2 linked regions of the Arabidopsis thaliana genome follow. The protein of the gene in region 1 interacts with the protein of each later gene in a pairwise test. Each region holds a gene or a part of one and is shown in the gene's direction. Other genes may lie near its edges.

The links. The genes of interacting proteins can lie anywhere in the genome.
Region 2: the proteins of AT1G76210 (region 1) and PGGT-I interact in a two-hybrid assay, tested with the Arabidopsis thaliana proteins (one large-scale study listed by BioGRID).

The regions. Positions count from the first base shown.
Region 1 is NC_003070.9:28,594,441-28,597,573, reverse strand, and holds AT1G76210 (DUF241 domain protein, putative (DUF241)), read left to right. Parts: upstream 1-1,577; 5' UTR 1,578-1,691; coding exon 1,692-2,372; 3' UTR 2,373-2,624; downstream 2,625-3,133. Other genes in the region: AT1G76220 (hypothetical protein (DUF241)), read left to right, coding at 1-44.
Region 2 is NC_003071.7:16,499,574-16,504,906, forward strand, and holds PGGT-I (Prenyltransferase family protein), read left to right. Parts: upstream 1-1,997; 5' UTR 1,998-2,092; coding exon 2,093-2,335; intron 2,336-2,423; coding exon 2,424-2,499; intron 2,500-2,593; coding exon 2,594-2,652; intron 2,653-2,747; coding exon 2,748-2,887; intron 2,888-3,085; coding exon 3,086-3,141; intron 3,142-3,233; coding exon 3,234-3,310; intron 3,311-3,412; coding exon 3,413-3,458; intron 3,459-3,715; coding exon 3,716-3,840; intron 3,841-3,940; coding exon 3,941-4,008; intron 4,009-4,084; coding exon 4,085-4,172; intron 4,173-4,421; coding exon 4,422-4,571; 3' UTR 4,572-4,806; downstream 4,807-5,333. Other genes in the region: AT2G39540 (Gibberellin-regulated family protein), read left to right, coding at 1,293-1,374, 1,487-1,668. UniProt on the Arabidopsis thaliana protein: Catalyzes the transfer of a geranyl-geranyl moiety from geranyl-geranyl pyrophosphate to a cysteine at the fourth position from the C-terminus of proteins having the C-terminal sequence Cys-aliphatic-aliphatic-X (CaaX).

The DNA.
Region 1 (3,133 bases):
TGTTGAAGACAAGAGTTTCTTTTCTTAACATGCTTACTCTTTGAGATTGTATAGATGTAATTTTGTTCATTGTGAAGTATTGTTGGCTTTAGTTTAGGCAAAGTCTCTCAGATCATATTGATCTTTAGAACTTGTAAAACTTTGTGTGCAGCGTTCTTAAATCATATTCAAACGATTACTTGTCAAGAATACGAGTTCGAGATAACAATTATCAGCAGATCACTTCAGTACTCTATGAATATTTCATAAGTTTATAGTTATACAATCATGAGACTGATGAGTGTATCAGTTTTCTTATCAGAAGTTGTTGCAAAACAGAGTAAGGATGAATTTGAGATAATGGGCTTATTAATTGAGTTTCATGGGCTTTATTTTATGTTTGATGGGTTGTTTGCAAAAAAAATAGCTAAAGAAATTACGCAATAATGTCTTATTTTCTCTGTGTGTTTTTATAATCACGCAATAATGTCTTCTTATTTCTCTTTTTTTAATCACGCAATAATGTCTCTACATGATGATGACAACAGAGAAAATATAATGCATGGTTGATTATTCGTTATAATTAGTAGCTATACCTTCCAAACGGGAAATCGAATAATAAGATTGCTGCACTAACAACATAATAAAAATGAAAGCATTTCAGCATTTGGAGTTGGAGGGATATGAATCTAATTATATAATTTGTGGGAAGATATTAATTTGTTGAAAATAACCTGAGATATAAAGATCTTAAACATAAAATCTAATCCAGGATGTATTCATGCGTCGAGCCGTCGAGGTGGTTACCTGATTGATAGAGAAATTAGACATATAAACATATATGTATTAATGTATGCGTATTATTACTGTCCACGTTATAGAAAAGGTATATTGGTATTTGTGTGAAACTGTGAATATTTCGCTTGTCCAGAAACATATATTGAGAGGTTAACACGTAACACAATGTCACAATCGCATGTATTGCCAAAGATAAGTTCCGGTTTTAAAATGATTATTGATCATATATTCATATTGATCAAGTAGTTACCATTATTTGTTTTCTGTTACTGTAAGACTTATATTACTTTCTTGTTGGTAATTAATATATCCATTTAACTTGATACATAAAACATATCTGACAAACCCTTAACATAATATTTAAAGTCTGATCCAAAATCTAAACATTTCTCATCTCATTTAATATTCGTCCGTCTGTTCCAAATTGTTGCAATTTACCAACACAGCCTGGCACCGTCGCTCGTGCATGCATGGTATATAGTATATAATTAAACCTTAAGACTATATATTAGAATAAAAATCTTTAAAACTATATATTATAAATTGAAAATCTAAACGAATCCACAATGTACCCTAATCCACGAGTGCCTCTTACGTACAAAGAAGGTTCCTTGTGACATGTTTTGAATCATTTAAATCATTGTTTTGATAATACCTCCAAAATGAGCTGTTCCCCGGATGTCCCACGTCCGTACAAAAACCCAAACTTGGGAACCTTCATCGTACTTTCCCTCAGATCCTTCTTAACCTCTATATATAATCTCATTCTTACACACATTCAATATATCTCTAATCTTCGCTTAAAACTCTCAAGAAGCCCTAAAAACCATTCACAATTACATCAAAAAATACCTTTTCAAATTCTTTTTTTACATTCATAAAGCTAAGTATCTCGAATAGATTAAGATCTATCTATGGCTCAGATTAACTTTGAGGGTTTGAGAGAGCTACACGACTGCGTAAACTATCTCCTCCATCACTGTCCGAAAACAAGAGAATCTCTGTCTCAACAAGGACAAGAGAAATGGACGGAACAAGTTTCAGAAGCTTCATTGAGGATGTTAGACATCTGTAACGTATCCAAAGATGTGATGACGCTCGTGAAACACAGCTTGCAAGATCTACAACTGACTCTACGTGGCAACGAATCATCTGATGTCAACGAGAAGATAGCTGCGTATAATCGGTATAAGAACAAGCTCAAGAAGGAGACACTGAAATGCTTAAACTGTTTGAAGAACATGAAAGGAAACGAAGGAAGAGTGGCCATGCCAATAGAACAGAACCTTCTGTTTGTCACAGAAGTTTTGAAGGAAGTGAGAAGAGTCGTTGTGACGATGGTTGAGTCTTTGTTCTCACTTGGTTGTATTCCTTGGCTAGAGAAGAGATCGAGCAAAGGGTCTTTGTCTTCGATCTTTTCCATTCGGTCTTCCTATTTGTTAGATGATGAATGGGACGAGACTGCGGTGCAAAGCGCGACTACGAGGTTGGAGGCGGCGGAGATTACTGTAGTGGAGCTTGAAATAGAGTTGGAATCTATTTTCCGGCGATTGATTCAGACGAGAGTTTCACTTCTTAATATTCTCACCAACTAGATAATATATGATATGTCCGGATCGGTTAGGTTTTGCTTCAAGCGGACATGTTTAGTTAACATTAAATAGATTGATTTGTAAACTTATTTTCAAGTTTGCAACATCAAATTCTTTTATTCTATATAATTTATTTTTTTACCCGTTTCCTAAACTGGCTACTTGGATTAAAGACTTGAAGTTGAAGGCACACTTTTTGTCTTCACCAAAAATAGAGTCAAAATGAAATTGTTATTCAAGTAAAATTTGAATTATAGATGTTTGTTTATTTATTCACAATTCATGTTGCTAGAATAGACATTTTCAATTTGATGATTTTGCATATTTTTTTTGGTTTTCAGATATAGTTATAAAAACCATTAACAAATTCAGTTTCGTAAGTGTTAATTTGTATACTTAACACAGCGAATATAACTAATTTCTAGTGTTTCTTTGTAATTCGTATCATTGGAGGCTGGATCTAAAAACACGAATCTCGCAATGCGTTTTATTTCAAATTAATTTGTTGACAGCAAAATAACAACATGATCAGGAAGTGCAACACACAAGTAGTAACTTAAAACAGAAGCAGCAAGTCTTACAAAGTTGTGTACAAAAACAATTCACGTCTTCTTCACAGTTCTCTTTATTTCGACATATGAAGCTGAAAATTAAGAAAAAAACAAGAGACGATCCTTTTTTCGTCATGATCTTCAAAGGTTCAGTGAGACCTAGCAGCAAAACCCAAAACCAGATTAGTGTCAAGTAGTTTGAGCAATGCTTAT
Region 2 (5,333 bases), on another chromosome or scaffold:
AAAATATATATATGCACAAATTGTATTCTTCAATTCGTGCTGGAGCTTGCTGGAACTCGATCACCACTTCTAAGTTCTAACTTAGTAATTGAAGTCGTGATATATTTTATTGACATATGGTATTAATTTAGATTTAAAACAGTTTTTAGCCAAGGAATTGTAAGTCTAAATTCATAGTCTTCGTAGCCAGAAGGCAACCTTTGATATTATTTTTATTATCTATATCTTTTTTTTTTTTTGGACAAAGCTTGTATCTACATCTAACTGAGAAAAAAGAATGTTTTTCTTTGTCATATTATTGTTCTCAAATTCTGATTATACAACTTTTGACATCAAATCATAATTATGCAATCAAACAAACAAACCAAAAAAGAAATATGCGACTAGCGTAATTTTTGCGCCACAATGTATTTTATATGCATAGCAAATCATTAGAATCCTAGTACAACTGTACAAAGTTCGAGTTGGACACCTAGCAGCGATAATTCAAACCATGTTTCCATCTAATGTAACAGTATAGACTTAGTCGTCTATCAATTTTAGGTGCAATCATTCGTATTAAAAAGAAAACTTAGTTTTTTTTTCATACTGTTTAGAGGAACAAAATACATGTAACAAGAGGTACATTTTTGTTTGAGTTAAATTTTACAATTTTTGAATATATAGTCAACGAAGACCGAAAAAGTTGAGTCAATTCCTAAGAATCAATCTGCCACATGCATCGCCGTGCTTGAAGGGCGGCTCACTGTCTTCTTGCTTATTACTACAGTTAAATCTTTTTTTTTCAACATCTAATGCTATACTTTTAATCTATAATATATATTAGATGTGACTTAAGGAATTTCAATAGTTATACATAATAATAAAAATGAATATTTGTTAGTGTTACAAACTGTGTGTCATAATCATCATTCATCAGGATTTCAAAAATATCTCAAAATTGTTGTAAGTTCATGTAATTCGAAATGAATGTGCACTATAAGAAATAAATTTACAATTTAAAAAATGCTTCAATACTGGTTACAAAAAAAACTTTCAATACTAGTATTATACTACTTACTTAGTCAAAAAAGTTTATGAATATGGTTTTTTCTGTATGTTAATATTTTTAACTGAAAATAGTACCGACATAACAAGTAAAGATATCTTTATTTAAAGTAACAAACATTAATTTCACTTCAAATTCTCACTATTAAGGATTCCTCTCTTTGTAGCCACATTTCACCATCACTACTTTGTTTTCGCATATCTTTAAATTTTGTATACGTAGCAAACTCTTTCGAGAAAACAAGATGAAGCTCGTGGTTGTACAATTCTTCATAATCTCTCTTCTCCTCACATCTTCATTTTCTGTACTTTCAAGTGCTGATTCGTGTAAGTGTTTACTTAATCTAGTTAATAATTGTAGGTCATGCATGTATCATTTTGAAACAAGTTTTCTGAAATTCTAAGATTTTACATATATATGTGATAAATGAATTAGCAGCATGCGGTGGAAAGTGCAATGTGAGATGCTCAAAGGCAGGACAACATGAAGAATGCCTCAAGTACTGCAATATATGTTGCCAGAAGTGTAATTGTGTTCCTTCGGGAACTTTTGGACACAAAGATGAATGTCCTTGCTACCGTGATATGAAAAACTCCAAAGGTGGATCCAAGTGTCCTTGAACGTTCTTTGAAGATCCTCATCACATACATATAACTTCTACGTACTATATGTGTGGAAATATTAATCACATTCTATGTTTGAAATATATAAAATAAAATCAATGCCCCCAATGTTGGAAATCTTCAATGTGATATCTTAATATATATCACGAATAAAAAAGTTTAAATTTCTCAATCTCATTTTTAATCTTTAATCTAATTTCTTAACACATCAACGAATCTTTAATCTTTAATCATGTAGATAATTATCAGAGCACCTAAACATTGCGCCGTTTTGTGATTATACAAAGTAACATCGTGCTGTTTTTGACTTTTGAAAACCACAGATCCAAAAACTGTTTACTTTCCTCTAAGAGAAAGCAAAGCCGAGTGAGTCCAAGCGAGTTTTGAGAGATTCGTTGACTCACTACCGGAGAACGACGCTATGTCAGAGACCGCCGTGTCAATCGATTCGGACCGATCTAAGTCGGAGGAAGAAGACGAAGAAGAGTATTCTCCACCGGTGCAATCATCTCCGTCAGCGAATTTCGAGAAAGATCGACACTTGATGTATTTGGAGATGATGTACGAGTTGCTTCCGTACCATTACCAATCTCAGGAGATCAATCGTCTTACACTCGCTCATTTCATAATCTCGGGTCTTCATTTTCTCGGCGCAAGAGACCGTGTTAGTCTCTTTCTCCTCTCTCTCAAAGAATCGATCTTTGTTTTTCCCCTGAATCTGATTTAGTGAATTTCATCTATAATTTCTGAAGGTTGATAAAGATGTTGTTGCAAAGTGGGTTTTGTCCTTCCAGGCCTTTCCTACTAACAGAGTTTCACTGAAAGATGGTATTTTTCTTGAATTTAGTTAGAAGTATGTTTATGAGCAAATTGTTAATTAGTTAGTGATCAATGAATGAGATGTTCTTGTTCTTCTCTGCAGGAGAATTCTATGGTTTCTTTGGTTCAAGGAGTTCTCAGTTTCCCATTGATGAGAATGGGGTAATTATAAGTCTATATTCCTTATGCTTTATATGTTACAAGATTTATCTTTGTTTTGCATCTGTGTGGGCTTGACAGTTTAGTTTGTTGCGTAGGATTTAAAGCACAACGGTAGTCACTTGGCAAGCACTTACTGTGCTTTGGCTATTCTGAAGGTCATTGGACATGATCTCTCGACCATCGACTCAAAATCATTGCTAATTTCCATGATAAACCTTCAACAGGATGATGGAAGGTATTAGTTCTTAGAGCTTAAAAAAGTAAAATGCATTTTATAATGCCATAAGTTTATTACTTATTTTCTTTGTTCTAAGTCGTTTAGGCTAGCAATATTCTCATTTACATGGTGCAACAAGTTTGGCTTGTCAGCATATAATGATTAAATAAGCAATGGGGTCTGAATTGTGTTTGATACTTTTTTATTTTGCTACAGCTTCATGCCTATCCATATTGGAGGTGAAACGGATCTTCGATTTGTATATTGTGCAGGTAAGGAATAGCTACCTAACAGGATTTACATACCATGTCTTTATACTTTACGTAGAGTATCAATCTAGTTTTTTTTTTTTTTTGTGGTTCAGCTGCAATCTGTTACATGCTGGATAGTTGGAGTGGAATGGATAAGGAGAGTGCTAAGAACTACATATTAAACTGTCAGGTTTACTTCTGATCTTGTAGTTGCTTTTGTCTTTTTTTCTTCCATTGATATTTGTCAATTTCTGTGTTGAGAAGACATTCTTGTGCAACATTCTTTGTGCAGTCATATGATGGTGGTTTTGGATTGATCCCTGGTTCTGAATCTCATGGTGAGTTGAAAACAATTTTTCTACTATCTCACAGTTGATTTTTTCCATGTGCAGTCCAACTAAGTGGCGCATATGTTATTACTGAATTGATCATTGAGGACACTTTAGATAATTTAGTTCCTTCATCTAGGTTTCTACTTCAATGGCAACCCATAAAGAAAAGAAGTTTACTATGTTCTTACGTTATGAGGGAAATGTGTTTAATTGACTCCACTCGTGTATGATGCTTACCTACGTTCTGCAACTTAGTTATGCAGGTGGTGCCACTTACTGTGCTATTGCATCCCTTCGGTTGATGGGATACATTGGAGTTGATCTGCTGTCAAATGATTCATCCAGTTCAATAATAGACCCTTCATTACTTCTCAACTGGTGCCTACAGGTACTGCTTCATAAAATCTGTTAACTTTCACCTCATAAATATTACCTTTAGATTCGTAATGGCCTGAGTGATCTGAAATTTTTTCTTACCTTGCCTGTAGAGACAAGCAAATGATGGTGGGTTTCAAGGTAGGACTAACAAGCCAAGTGACACATGCTATGCATTTTGGTTAGTCCCCTCAACTTTTGCTGTCACCGACCCTAATTGTTCTCATCTGCTTATGATGGGCCTTGCATATTTGTAGGATTGGAGCTGTCCTTAAACTTATAGGAGGCGATGCATTGATCGACAAAATGGCTCTGCGCAAATTTTTAATGAGTTGTCAGTCCAAGGTAACTATTCTCTACATCTCATATCTCAGCTGATATTAATTTCTAAATTTGTAAAGTAACTGAGTAGATAGGCAAACCTGCAACTAAGCTAATATTTATTTAGCAATATTACTAGTAGCAGCCTATAGAGCCATTAGGATAGTTTGGTACATTGTCTTCATTCATGTGTTTACATCTACGATTCATGATCGGTTACTGATGATAACAATCTGCTTAACGCCGCCATTGTTTGTGCATTTTTGTGTCCAGTATGGTGGATTCAGTAAATTCCCCGGACAATTACCAGATCTGTATCATTCATACTACGGTTACACGGCTTTTAGTCTCTTGGAAGAACAGGGCTTGAGTCCTCTATGTCCTGAGCTAGGTTTACCTCTTCTTGCAGCCCCGGGAATTTGATGTTTAGATTGTCTCAAAGTCACATTCTTTTTTCACCACATTGTAACATTTATGTCAACATTCCGTGTGGTAACATTGCTAAAACTCACAGAATGAATATTGTAAACCAAAGAAAAGCAAATTTAGTTGTTGAGTTTTATTTTCTGTTCTTTTTAGACTAGGGACGAAAAATCAAAAACTTTTAAATCATAAATCTGTGAATAAGATGTTGCATGATTGTGTAAGAAAGTTCGGGAAAAAAAAACAAAAGACTATTGTAAGATTGCAGTTTCGCTTTGTTAACGAGTGAGTGGTGTTGTTGACGCCACTTGGATGGAAAAGTATCAGACATAAACTGCAAAAACTGGGACAAAATCCTAAAGGGGAAGAGATTCCCCACTTGGCCTCTCATGAGTCTTGTCTCTATTCATAAATCGTCTTATTCCAATTTACCGGTCGATGTTCTTCAATGCCGTAAAAAGAATCATTCTTACTGTAGTGTGTTTTGATGCAAATGATCTCGAATAAATCAAATTAGATTAGTATATAATTCTTTTACCTTTTCTCTTCACGTGTTCTGTTTAACTTTCTAACTCCATATTCGATAAAACGAGAATTAATTCCTTTTTAAAAGTGAAAGTCGGTTTAGGATTTGAGTGTTGAGTTCATGCATCTTTAAATGTCAACCACAACACTTGTGGTAACTTTGCTACAAGAAAATAGAATCCAAAGCCTATCTTTATTCGCGTGATTTGACTCAAAATCCACAAATTTGGCTAACAA